Linked DNA regions of Drosophila melanogaster. The gene in region 3 interacts genetically with the main gene of each other region. Each region holds a gene or a part of one and is shown on either strand. Other genes may lie near its edges.

Region 1 (3,427 bases), on a different chromosome or scaffold from region 3:
ACAGTTTTCTCAATGCCAATCAAAATACAGACAATGAAGACGTTTTTTTTTAGCAATTTCGCCAACAAGATTATAGCTTTCTCCCATAAGCTGTTGCTTGCGCTTTTAGCCAAATTAAAATAATTTGTGCAGTGTATGTCGACAGGAAACTCCATTGGCACCGTTAGCTACCTTTCCTACCACCACCACCACAACTGACAACGGCAACTGTTATGCGTGTGAAATTATAACTGACAGCGGAGCTTCTTTTGTCGCCGCCGACTCATCCTGGCATGCGGTTCATTGAATAATTTATGCACTATAAAGTGGCAGCAGGCCCATTCCATTCCGCCGGATCCGGCGATTCCTTACTTTCAGGCCAAAAAACAGGGCCAAATGCCAGTGAGAGCGACAGGGAACGAGTTGTTTTGCATTTCAATGCAAATGCGAAAACTTCATTAAGTGCCCCTGGAACTATTTATATTAATTGCATGCGTGTCCTGCTGCCAAACAAATATTTCCACCTCAGCTGGCCAACTAATTAGAGGTCAAATCAAACGGAAAATTGTTCATTAAGGGAGCGACAGACGATCGCTCATCATTAAATCCACTCAATTAGGAAAAACAATTTGATAAATTTAGTTTAAATCAAATTATTACAAAAGCAGTTGGTAGCCTGTGGCTGCCACACATGTTGCACGCGACTGCCAGCTACCAACCGCTCGTAATTGGCTTAATTGGGCATTTATCGTCAATCACGGAGTTGCATGTTCATGTTTGGCTTGAAAAATGCATATTTCCGTAATTAGCTTGATTGCATTTCGATGGCAAGCGCCACAGGGCCAACAGACATTGGGGCTAAGTTCATTACCGGCGTAACAGTTTGACAGCCACTGCTGGCAGCCCTATAAGTATGCAACGAATGGCTCTAACCTTAAGTTCAATTGGGCAATCGATGAATGAATCAAGCATATCAAATTCCACTATGAATGCCATCATAAATGCCCAGTAATATGCAAATTGAAAACACAATAAAACAAATCCCTAAACCACACAAAAATGCCACAAGCGATATGGGGTTAATTTGCATAAATAGGTTTTTTGTCTGCGCCCCTTTTGTTTTTTGTTGCTAGTCAGTGTGTTTACGAAATCGAAATTATGTATCATAAACTAGATACGGTGGACAGTCGGCAGAGAGTCGCAGCTCGATTAGCGATTGATTTGTGATCCATCATAGCCAGTATTCACTGCCACGGTTTACCAATTTGCAATTGCCGGAAAGATATATTGACTGAATTAATTAATATTGAATTTGACCAATCATTCGCAGAATTCTGTGGACACTGTAATTGATTTATTTTCTTCCTTTTTTCGCCAGCTATATGGCTGTACTGCAATTAATTAAATACGACCAGCTATGCAAATCGCATGGCATTGCTCCACTTAAGTGGCCATAATTTCTGGTTTGGCCTACCAACATCCAGTTCCGTCGTGGTTTGTTTTTGCATTTCATTGCCAACGAAATTGGCAAACCGTTTTCGAATTTATGCAAACAAATGCTGGCGGATACAGTTTTGAGGGCTTTGCGTCACCTGCAACGGGTATTGGTATTTGTGCTGGATTAGCATCAATGGCATGGGCTACACCCGCTGTCTCATCACGAAAATCTGCATCTTATATTGGACCTGATTAGGGTCGGGCTATAAAAACGCCCCTCGACAAGATGGGCTGTAGCATTAACAGTTTACACCTCCCGGCGTGCCCAACACGTTAACAGATTGGATCGAATATTGGCTAGGATAGGGCTATCAATATGCGTGGATTTATTGTAAGTTTAAATGGTATTATTAGTTTGAAATAGTTGGATTAACCTGAGCTTTCTTTGCCAGATTTTTGCTGTCTTGGCTGTGGCTCGCGCTGATGTAGGCGGCTATAACTATGGAGCTGGCATTGGATCAGGCGGATCCATCTCGGGAGGCTCTCTGTCTGGAGGCTCCATCTCTGGAGGCTCGATCTCAGGTGGCTCCATCTCAGGTGGCTCCATCTCAGGTGGCTCCATTTCTGGTGGTTCCCTTTCTAGTGGTTCCCTGTCCGGGGGATCTTATTCCACTAACTACGCTCCTGTAAACACCGAATTTAACAAGGAGTTCTTCACCTACTCCGCTCCCGAGGCCGATTTTGAGGATAATAAGAGTGTCAGTGATCTGGCTGCTACTCTGAAGAAGAACCTCCGTGTGGTTTTCATCAGGGCCCCCGAGAATAAGGGTCTGGAGAACGCCGCTCTGGCCTTGGCCAAGCAGGCTGCCGAGCAGCAGACCGCCATCTATGTCCTGACCAAACAGGGTGATCTGTCCAGCCTGGCCAACCAGCTGCAGAACCTGAACCATGTGAGCGCCAGCAAGCCGGAGGTGCATTTCGTCAAGTACCGCACCCAGCAGGACGCCATCAATGCCCAGCGTACCATTCAGCAGGAGTACGAGCGTCTGGGTGGAGCCAGCACCTCCTACAACGGAGGCGTGGCACCAGTCCTGGACTTTGCCACCAAAGTGCAGCAACAGCAAGAGCAGCAGCAGCAACAGCAACAGCAGCAGGTGCAGCTGATTGATGAGCGTCGGCCTTCCAGCGGAAGTGTAAGCGCCGAACTGGAGGCTCCTTCGGCAGGATATATTCCACCACCAGCCGCAGCGCCTAGTGCCACGTACCTGCCTGTGAACAAGGTCAAGTAGGAAACCTGCAAGACCACATTCTTATTTACGAATTAGCTCACACATTCTCCTTTAAGTGCTACCGTATAAAATATAAACTTAACTTAATGTATGCCCGATATATTGTTGCTGTCGAGATTAATGCAGGAAGTCATTTCAGCGCCTTGTAGCCACTATCGGCCAGAGCCTGAGCAGCAATTAAAACTAAAAGCGCATTGGCATTGGAGGGTTTGGGTTTAAAAGGGGTTGTAAATTTAAGTGCATGCCCTCTGACACCGGATTCGTTGCCAGCGGTTTATGGCACGTCACCGACGACCAGTGTTGACCCGTCCTAAAGTACTACCACCATACACGCGATCAGGGCCAACTGGTCTGGGCTAATTACCGCCGCACAGAGCCAATTTCTGGCGCTTCATGACCGCGACCAGTCGCGACATTTAATGGGTGCCCTTTTGAGGGTCAAGTCGGTGGCAATTTGGTCCTGCCACTGTTGCAGCCAAAGAAACCCACACTGAGAATTAAATGAAAATTACTAGCTACATTTTGGAGCGCACTCCTTTGTTGACCGTCGTGAAATTTCAGCTAGCAAGCAAAGAAAACCACAAAACTTCTAAACCAGAAAGCTTTGCTTTGTTTTCTGTTACGCCACAGTCCTTGCGCGGCAACAGAAGTCCTCTCAACGGCATACCTCAAAATAATTTAAGAATGCAGTTTTAATGGCAATTCCATTTGCAGCCAAGTGG
Region 2 (5,911 bases), on a different chromosome or scaffold from region 3:
GGCCGGTCTTTGAGGACAGAACTTTGCCATTGGATTGTGCAACTTTGTCTTAATTTAGACACCAAAATTGCTCGTTAACTTCCTTAACAACTAAGAAAAAGTTAATGTTTTTTGTTTGCTTTTGAAGAATTAATATTCATTTGACATCAGATACTTATTTTTTCTTGGTAAAAAAAAAAATAACGAAGCTATAAATTTTTCAACACCCAATATATTTCCAAATATTATCACCAAATTTGCACTTCAAATTGGATTGATGATGATTTGTCCATTGAATATGTTAGAAATATTTTCATATGGGTTTTTTAAGTAAATATCTAAATAAGTAACTCTTAAAGATCACCGATCCCAATGAATGTATAGCTCTACCCACTTTCACCCTCTTCGATTGCAATGCCCACATGATTCGGCAGCCTTCTTCCCACTTCCCATTCAAATGCTCCGTGAAATCTTCGGATCTGTCCAAATGAGCCATAACTTAGCCCCTGACTAAGTGCCCACCTCGGCGCGATCGAAGTACCAGCATCTGGCCAAAAGGTCACACGCAACAGCGGACTGGAGGAAAGGGGAGCATGCCAATCCTTGAGAGGGTGACACGCGCTGTGGGAAGATCGAGCGATCAGGGTGTGGAAACGGGCTGAAGTGGAAGAAGAAGGTCACAAGCGTGCCACCAAGTCGCTGCCTTACAGGGGTTGCAACCTCGAATGGAACCACCCTCATGAGTCCAATTGGAACCACGACCATCGGAATTCCTCGGCTAGAAGTTAATTGTTCGTCCAACATGTGTGACGATGAAGGTGCATTGTTACGGATAGCGATGACCATGAGGTGGACGCGAAATAGATGGGCTCTCTCAACTTTGGGCGAAATTAATCTGTATCAATGGATTGCCAACAAGAAGCCGCTAAATTGGGATTGTACATACATAAGTGCATATGGAAATATAGTGGATGTTAAAAACCCCCCTTTTTAGGTTTTATCTGTGATACGATCTTTAGAACGATTAGAAAGCAGCATAGTAATTTTCATCTCTTCGCCAAAATTGAATGCTTTAATATGGCTATAACTATTCCCACTAGTTTGATAAACGGTTCTGAAATCGAAAACATTTGAAAAGATAGTATAGTATATATACCAGACATAAACTTAATCCTTCAAATCGTTCAACATTCTTCTTATTTCGGCCCCCAATCTTATAGATACCTTATCTCCATATATCGAATCATAGATCATACCATAGATTATCTTCTGTACCATACATTATTATTAATAGGTATGCGATAGTTTGTAACTGCATGGTAACAGAACACAATCAGTTCATTTATATGATATCTCCTAATATGACTATGCTTTCATGATTCTATATCCTCATTATAAATAAAACATAATTCAATAGTAGGATAACAATAAGATCAGCGTGCCATTAGAGTCCTTAAATCCGCTCTAAGAACTGAGAGCCAGTAGAGATGCAAGTCCCGGTTCCCAGGACCCCATCATCCCGTCGTGCTCTTCCGTTCCCAGAACATCTCGATCTGCTGGTAGCCGTGTGCCCGCGAAGCTGAAGACCAAAAACTGGACCCAGGCAGCTAGACCCAGTCAAAAATAAAAAAACAGAAAAAAGAAGAAAAAATCGCAAAGTAGGGGAGACCACACCCCGCTGAATGGAAAATCGTCGAATCGCTGGGCAAGCGGAAAAGTCACACACGCCAGCATGAAACGCACAGAGCGGCGTTCGCATGCGCCGTCCCGCTCGCACGGCGATAGTGGCGGCCGATGGAGCGATGCGATTGGTCGCTGCCAGCGCTGCTGCTGCGCTGCCGCCTGCGCCGGTATAAAAGGACAATCATCGCCAGTAGCCGAGTCAATTAAGGCCAAAGACTCGAGCGGTGAGCGTGCGGCTCTACTCCCATATATACATATATATATATATATATATTCAACATCCTAACCGATAGAAAAGTAGCAACAGCAGCCCAGTTATGTGCTTGCCAAATGCAATTAACAACTGATTGATTTGGAAACTCAGCAGCGATAATCGAGTTGAAAATCAACCAAATAATACACTAAATGGATTGAAAGTGTCGCAGTGGCAAAAGTGTTGTTAGCTAGTTAGTGTGTCTTGTGTGCTGTTACTGTGCGTTCCAAGGATTAAAGTCGTGGAGGAGAATGGAACACGATAGCTTCGATGATCCCATTTTCGGGGAGTTCGGCGGCGGGCCACTCAATCCACTGGGCGCCAAGCCACTGATGCCCACCACAACGGCCATGCATCCCGTGATGCTGGGCAGTGTCCACGAGTTGTGCAGCCAACAGCAGCAGCAGCAGCAGCAGCAACGATTGCCCGACTGCAACACCATACTGCCGAATGGCGGAGGAGGAGGAGCAGGATCTGGCGGCGCTGGAGGATCGCCCAACTATGTGACCAAGCTGGATTTTGTCAACAAGATGGGCTGCTACTCGCCCAGCCAGAAGTACGAGTACATTAGTGCGCCGCAAAAACTGGTGGAGCAGCAGCAGCAGCAGCAGCATCATCATCAACATCATCAGCACTACACGGCCACGCCCCCGCCCAGCCACAATGGCATCCTGCTGCACAAGCAATCCTCCCAGCAGCAACAGCAGCAGCAGCAACAGCTGGTGGGCATCCTGGACTATCATCCGCTCAATGGCAAGCTGGACTACTCCTCGTCGCCCAAAGATCAGTACGAGCCGCAGCAGCTGCAGCATCTGTACGGCGGCAGTCCGCATCATCTGGACCATTTGGATCATGGCAGTGATGGCTTGCTCCAGGACTCCTCGCCCGTCATGATCAACGGAGGATCCGCTGGTGGCAAGCTAAAGAAGCCCGATGAGATGTGTTCGCAGTTGGAGGCGGGTGGTGCTGGAGTTACTCCGCCAAGTAGTTCCTCCACGGTGGTTAATGGCACCACCAATGGCACTGGCAACGCCAACTCCTCCTCCTCCGCTGGCGTCGGCATTCAGGGGGCGGCGGGCACAGCGGGGGGCGTGGCAGCTCCTGCAGCCAAAAAGGACGGAAGCAGCAGCAAGAAGAAGGGCGATCCCAATGGCATCAAGAAGAAGAAGACGAGGTAAGCGGTCGAAGCTGCTACGCTGTCAATTAATTTAACGACGGGAAATCAATGAAATTATGTGGCACAAGATGATAGCACTTGCTATTTATGACCGTGACCACGGGGCGTATGAGTAATTTGGAGTAAGGACATTGCTAGCAACTCGCACGGAAACCCGTGCAATCTGGGGGGCTAATTATTAAATAATGAGTACCGATAGCAGATAGATAGATCCACAGAACATGGTTATCTCTATAGAATTTTCTAATATTCTAAAATATAGTTTCAGTTTAGAACTTTTTTGTAATATAAATAGATACTATGGGTTTTTTCATTTTTCCCTTTTTTTAATCCCTATTATATGACCAACTAACTGTATGAATCCCATTCAGACTTTCATCTAATCCTCTATACTTTCCATTTTTACCTTCAGAACCACCTTTACTGCCTACCAGCTGGAGGAGTTGGAGCGTGCCTTTGAACGTGCTCCGTATCCGGATGTTTTCGCCCGCGAGGAGCTGGCCATCAAGCTGAATCTGAGCGAATCCCGTGTGCAGGTGTGGTTCCAGAACCGACGGGCCAAGTGGCGCAAGCACGAGCCACCGCGCAAGACGGGCTACATCAAGACGAGCACTCCGCCGACGGCGACACTGAATCCCGGAACCCTAGCCCCACCATTCACTAGCTACCCGCAGACGACGACGGTCACGCCGCCGGGCAGCATGGACAGCTGGACCAGCTACCAGACGCCCTACGAACTGACGCCCCAGTTCAGCCTGCTCTCGCCGGCGGCCAGTCCGTATGGCACCTATTCCGGCCAGTACGGTGCCTATGTGCACGAAAGCCAGCTCTTCCCGATGCGTCACTACGAGTACGGTAGTCCCACGCGCATGGAAATGGGCGCCACAACCGGTTCGGTGGCCGGAAACGGAGATGAGTCGGTGGCCAATGGCGGCAGCTATCAGACGGCGGAACTGCAGACCGCCCAGCAGCAGCAACTGGCCGACGGCACACTGGTCACCGTCCATGCCCACCAACAGCAGCAGCAGCAGCAGCAGCAACTCAATGGCAAGTACCTGAGCGCCGAGGAGGCCAAATACGTGCACCTGCAGTGCCATCAGAGTGGAGGTGGTCTGGAGCTAAGTCCCGGCGCCAGCTGTCATCTGGTGGAGGCGCAGGGCCAGCACTATGTGACCACGGCGACGGGAGGAGCTGCATCCGCGGGCGGCACCAGCAGCGATGACAACGACAGCGGCGGCATGCAGACTGTGATCAAGAGCGAGGAGGTCTCCCAACAGCAGCAGCAGCAGCAGGGACAGAGCTACGTCCTGCCGCCTTTTTTGCACTGAGAGAAATGCTCACACACCGGCGACAGCAACAACACCAGCGACGCTGGGCCACGCCCATCAGCACGCCGAACGCCCGTTTCCGTCGGCCATTTTGAAGGGATGGAGGCGTGGCGTGTGCAGCATTTCCAACTGTGTTTCTCCGACTGAAAGTGGGGCTCCAGAAAAGCGGATTCCCAAAGATAAAGCCTCATAAGTAGTAGAATTCATCATCGGATTACTTAAAACTAGTTGCTTTCAAAAAATTTGGCGAGAGTCCACAAATTTTATATTTAATTTGATAATATTGTTTTTTTAGTTTATATTTCCAATCCCTTGGAGTTTTTCTAGCCAGTCCCACACAGTTTCTAGCCACTGTTTTCATATTGCCATAGGTTCCTTTTAGGTTTAATGACGCAAGTTGCAACAACAACGGAATCCACAAGTCTTGCCAAATCATAATGAGGTTATTATGCCTGTCTAAGTCTAGGTTAATCTAGGGCTAGGGGCTCTGCAACGAGAGCCCCGCCCCCAGAATGCATTCCAAATGTGCCTTACCAAAACGGGTGACGAGTGACCTCCCTCCAAATTGGAAAGCTTCGTTGCCCAACAAACTTAGTTTTAGTTATTCTACTCGTAGACTAAGTTCCATTTGCTGTTTTTGCTGTAGTTAGACAATAAAGTGCTTTTTATATTGTATACTAGCTCATTTGGCTTTACAAATTTTATTACTTACTAATTTTGTAAAATGGCTTGCAAATTTTGTTACAACTACATTCAATTTAGTTTAATTTCTAATTGTAAGCAATTACATAAACTAGGACACTTTGCAAATGTATATAATAGACGTATAAATAAATCGTATTTTGTACCAATAATTGATCAGCTTCCAATTCAAAAAAGGAACAACATAAAAGACTCATAAAAACAAAACTGATGGTTAATACACTTGTTTTCGAAGACAAGTATTAAAAGTAATGCATAGAAAATAATATAGCAGATTCACAACATAATTAATCGCTATGGAGCGACTTCAGATTCTTTGAAAGTAATCAAAATCAATGCCAATCAGAACTGAGCAAGGAATCACAAATGGGATTTCAGGTACAGTACGAAATAAGAAAATACTTTACGGACTCAATAGCAAAGCAAATAGTGCCTATTTTCACATGGACTCAGTTCCCTGCTCCAAAACCGCCTGCCAATCGATGCCTTTGAAGAATGGATGAGCCTGCAATTGGTCGTAGTCCAAACGTAGCTCCGGAGAAAGCTGCAGCAGTTGCTCCAGCAGATCCTTGGCATGATCGGAAATCTCCAACGACTCACTAGGATACTGAACACAACCATAGAGGTCCAGTTGCCCGGGATGCGTGACTTTGTAGGGCTGGAAAGAAAGCAGATTGCTATTATCCAAACATTTTCAATCGAGAACTCAAAACTTACAACTCCCAGCAGAAGCTGATAGAGCACCACGCCGTAGCTCCACCAGTCCGAGCGAAAAGTGAGCGGTCTTTC
Region 3 (5,069 bases):
TCCGCTGGACATCGAGATCATTCCGCTCTCGACTTTATCGTTCGCCCTGTTTTGACTAACTCATTCGTCACTTGCGTTTCGTTCGCCCATTTCCAGTGGAATGTTCAATGTGCCCCATGTAACGAGCATATATCTGGTGAAGAAAACCGCCTTCGATGCCATCTCCTTCAAGCACAAGGAATTCGATCCCGACATGGCCATGTGCGAGTCACTCCGAAATGCGGTAAGTGTTTGACAGAACATCGTGTTCAATTGGTTACTAATGTGTCCACTCTTCTGTCCAGGGTATCTTCATGTACGCCAGCAATCTGCGCATATTCGGTCACTTGGTCAACGCCGATGACTTCAACACTACGGTGACACGTCCGGACTTTTATACGTTGTTTAGCAACGAGATCGACTGGACGGAGAAGTACATACATCCGAACTACTCACTGCAGCTGAACGAGAGCAACAAGATACAGCAGCCGTGCCCGGATGTCTATTGGTTCCAGATCGTGTCGGACGCGTTCTGCGACGATTTGGTGGCCATCATGGAGGCGCACAACGGTTGGTCGGACGGCAGCAACAACGACAATCGGCTGGAGGGCGGATATGAGGCGGTGCCCACCAGGGATATCCACATGAAGCAGGTGGGCCTGGAGCGGCTCTATCTTAAATTTCTTCAAATGTTCGTTCGTCCGCTGCAGGAGCGCGCCTTTACGGGTTACTTCCACAATGTGAGTCAAAGAATTATCATTTTGAAGATTTTGTTTTAATATTCTCACTAATTTTGTAGCCTCCACGCGCGCTGATGAACTTCATGGTGCGTTATCGGCCGGATGAACAGCCTTCTCTGCGACCCCACCACGACTCCTCCACGTACACCATCAACATTGCGATGAACCGGGCGGGTATTGACTATCAGGGCGGTGGCTGTCGTTTCATTCGTTACAACTGCTCCGTGACCGATACGAAGAAGGGATGGATGCTGATGCACCCGGGTCGACTGACTCACTACCACGAGGGATTGCTAGTGACCAATGGCACGCGTTACATCATGATTTCCTTCATCGATCCGTAGGGTAGCTAATTTAAGTCGTACTCTTTATATCAAACTGCCATATCGGCCACTCCAAAGAACTGCATACTAAGCCCAATGAACAATTTATGTTGATGGAATTGCGGCATCGGCCTTCTATTTCTGATGATTTTACATACTACTTTGAGATCGATAGCTTTAGGATACTCTGATGAATCTGTTGCAGCCTTAAGTTAATTATAAGCTTTTTTACCAAGTGCAAAGTGTTCAATTTTTGAATAAATTAATTCAATTATTAAATGAAATACATTTGGTTTTGTTTTTGTCTGGAGAAATTCTTATCTTTTATAATTTCAAATCAAATATTTAATTTACGTGGTTCAATTTAATTCGCTTTCGAAAGAATATTGTTCTCTAACGTGAAATGCTGAACCAACACAGCTGTTTTGCGAAAGCGGGATAGCACCTTCAACAGTGCTGCCCCCCACGCAACTAACAGCAGCGGTTGTGCAGACTTCTGCTGTTAGCAAACATTTACAGCAGACACTTGACAGAATGCACACCAAAATTTCTCTAGTGAGTTTTAAAATAAATAAATCTATATGAACTTTAAAGTTTTTTAATCAAAGATAAATATATTTCTAAAAAAAAGCAGGATGTGCATACATAACATTTTATTTTGACTAAATAAAGATTTACACGCTGCCATAATTTAAAATTCAACAAAAAACATATTCTATTTTAATGTATATTTTTTTATATTTTAACATATGAGAGGCTAACAGAGTAGCTTGATTACAGAACCCGTAAGAATGTTAGGAAGTCGAACCACTGCGTACTGTTGTTGCATCGAGCACAAGGCTTCGAACTTGCGCGAGTTCGAACGACTCCAAAAGAAAAGTGTATTTAAGCGCTTGGCGAAGCACGCTCTATGTTATTGCTCGATTTTCGTCCGCGTAGCTGGTTGGTTCGTCACAATTTTTTATAAATTAGGAAGAACTAAATAAACTAAGCGGACATTGGCTTAAAGGCCAGCAAACAATATACGGAAATAAACAAGTTTGTTGGGTAAATGCAACTGAAATTGACGAATACTTTCGAGAAATTTAGAAGACTCCAGTGTTTGCAGACTTCGTGTGCGGGTGGTGTGCGGTACATTTACAGTTAGTTGCGCAAAGTGCGTGTTTAAAAATAACAAAAATCGACGCTGGATATAAAAACCGAAATAAGTAGGGAGAGCAATAAATGAGTGGCGAAGAGAAATGCAAATTTATCGAGTCGGTCAATTTAAAAAAGCCGCATCCTGGAAAATTGTGTGCGTGCGTTCGTGTGTGTGTGTGTCTGTGAAATAAACAAAAAAGGCGAAAGTTTACTCGCTCTCTCTCTCTTTCTTACTCTCTGTTGCTCGCTGTGGCGCTCTCTCTTTCTGTCGCAGGACTTGCTTCGATTTTTCTTCCGCCTGCTTTTCCTGTTTCATTTCCCTACATTTTTTTATTACTCTATTTACACTTGGCGAGTCCTGCCTTATGTGTGCACACATGTGTATGTGTGTGCTTTCTCACACCTGATGTTTTTGTTGTTCCTGCTTTCAGCCGCTCCTGTTGGCCAAGTTTTTTTTTGTTGTTGCTTTGGCAACCGTTGGAACAACAACAGCAGCAACAACAACATAAACAACAGGGACACATAAGGGTACTTCCATTTCTGAAAACATTTGCTCTTTTGAAACAAAAAATAAAAAGAAAGAAAAACCCAGCCAGACAGTCTGGAAAATCCATAGAAATACAAACACAATTTTAAGTCGGCACTAAAAACCGAAAGTGGCTGTATCCCCGATTTTGATGAGCAGCCAACGGAGATTTCCGGTATCCAGCCAAATGGCGAGGTGGAGTTCCACGTTCCAGGTGAGTGCGATATAGTGCCACATGCCCACCCCACCCCTTTATAATTTCACCGCACACGGTGAGAAATACCATTTTCTCCACTTTGCAAACATAATCGTATCGAACGCAATTACCAAAAATCATTTGACTTGAAACAGGAAACACTAGCTGGAAAAAATTTTATTTATTATCAGCATTTCAAGCATATTCACTTTCATGATTGATTGCACTTAAACCGTTGCCATTGAACGAGGTCAAAAAATAGTATCTTAAAGGAAAGGTAAAATTTAAAGATACGACAATAACATTTTCAGTTCCAATTAAACTGTTTTCAATGATGAAAAAGTAGTTTGAAAGCATACTAATTTTTAAAAACAAAAAGTGCTTGCAACTTTAAGAAAACGTTTCATGATTGATTGCACTTAAATTTTTGCCATTGAACATGGTCAACAAATAGTATCCTAATGGATAGGTAAAATTGAAAGATACGACAAAAACATTTTCAGTTCAATCGAACTGTTTTTAATCATGAAAAAGTTATTTTAAGCGTACTACTTTTTAAAATTAAAAAGTGTTTGCTACTTTAGGAAAACATTCATTGTTATTTATATTTATTAATATTTAATATTAAACAAATATTTTCATAATTTATAACTACTTATAGCAAAGGCAATAAGAAATATGAATATTGGATAATAATATTAAATTACGGTACTATAATATTAACTTAACTTAACTAAAATATTAAGTTACGGTAGTTAATATAATTCTTTACTGCTCTTCAGTAACTTCGAAGCTGGCTTCACTAAATGTGTCTTCTCACACAATATATTAATTATATATTTGCATATTACCTGAAAACCAAGCCGAGTCTTAGCCTTGAGTTGTCAAAACTGCTCACTATCAATATATTATATGCGGTATACATACGTATTTATTTATTTATTTTTTTTCCGTGGAGTTAAGTTCGCATGTGTGTGCCGATTGCTTGATATTTTCTATTAGCGGGTGCTGGATTTTCCTTGCTCGTCGCCGTGAGCAGCTGCTAATGGGTTGTGAAAAAAGTGGGCGAACGAAGCGGGCTGGAAGGCTGTGGAAAAGTTAGGGAGGTGTGTGTGTGTTTGGGGGAGGGGGGGGGGGGGTGTGGCCAAGCATGTGTGAAACTTCCTCACAGTGGAAAAACATATGGTGGCAAGTTCAGTGCTTAAGGTTCGAGAACGCAAGTTTCCACACTTGATTATATGGCCCATAAATTTGTAGTACATTTAAATAAATGCCATATCTTTGCAGCTTACGTGTTTTGGTATATTATTTTATTACTATTAGGTGAACACAATTAAATTTTAGTTACAAAGTTCTGTTGTTAAGATGTATAATGCTTCTTAAAGATAAAAACCAGTTACATATATACCAGATTAAGCTAGAAGTTTTAGGTTAGGCAAATAAAAATCTAAAGTGTAACACAATTTAAAACTATTATTCCAGTGGATAGTTTTGCATATGTTCCTGATTTTTTGTGTGAAGTTCTTTTTTATTTGTTTGTAGATTTTCGAGATGTTTCCTGCAGGCGAATGCCTCGCAAAAATTTACCAACTGGACCACAAGAAACATGTGGTAATGATAAAGAATTCTTAAGCAGCTTTCTATTTTTGGAATAAACATGTTTAGCGTGTTTGTTAGTTGAACTAGTTAAAGTTTAAACATCAGATTTCCATCAGCTTGGTGACCCAGAACAAGAGTCCGTCGCTTGAAATGTCATTGGCTTCCTATGAAGAGGACTTCTTCAAGGGCTTGGAAGCCCTATATCAAGTCTACATCCCGGCAATCATCATAAAAGAAACCAGCTGAGCTGGCCCGGGGCAGGTGGATGGATAATGGTGCACCTCTCTCTGGAAGGCACATATGCAAATGTTGGCCCAGTGCCCCCCACTTGGAGCTTCACCTCCGTTAAACCCCTCCTCCGCTCCACGACCATGTGCGTGCGTGCGAAATCTGCGAGCAGAGGCAAAATGATTAACAAAGGCTCCCCGAGGTGCGGCAATATGTTGGGGCGGCACCAGCAGTGGGTGGCTATTTGTACTAGACGTGCACTGGCAGAAATTACGTGTGAGAAGATCTTGATCTTTTACGGACATAACTTATTGGGCAAAACTAATTCCGGGTTTCAA

Evidence for each region.
Region 1: of GlcAT-P (region 3) and Tb, changing one suppresses a phenotype caused by changing the other (phenotypic suppression), as found in Drosophila melanogaster (one study listed by BioGRID).
Region 2: of GlcAT-P (region 3) and repo, changing one enhances a phenotype caused by changing the other (phenotypic enhancement), as found in Drosophila melanogaster (one study listed by BioGRID).

The regions. Positions count from the first base shown.
Region 1 is NT_033777.3:26,654,737-26,658,163, forward strand, and holds Tb (tubby), read left to right. Parts: upstream 1-1,703; 5' UTR 1,704-1,792; coding exon 1,793-1,807; intron 1,808-1,868; coding exon 1,869-2,705; 3' UTR 2,706-2,795; downstream 2,796-3,427.
Region 2 is NT_033777.3:18,234,331-18,240,241, forward strand, and holds repo (reversed polarity), read left to right. Parts: upstream 1-1,861; 5' UTR 1,862-2,166; coding exon 2,167-3,089; intron 3,090-3,504; coding exon 3,505-4,420; 3' UTR 4,421-5,272; downstream 5,273-5,911. Other genes in the region: CG7156 (uncharacterized protein), read right to left, coding at 5,562-5,780, 5,840-5,911.
Region 3 is NT_037436.4:11,194,420-11,199,488, reverse strand, and holds the start of GlcAT-P (glucuronyltransferase P), read left to right. Parts: upstream 1-1,952; 5' UTR 1,953-2,089; exon of another isoform or gene 2,090-2,250; intron 2,251-2,613; 5' UTR 2,614-2,922; intron 2,923-5,069. Other genes in the region: Plod (procollagen lysyl hydroxylase), read left to right, coding at 97-223, 285-719, 779-1,063. UniProt on the Drosophila melanogaster protein: Involved in the biosynthesis of L2/HNK-1 carbohydrate epitope on both glycolipids and glycoproteins. Enzyme has a broad specificity.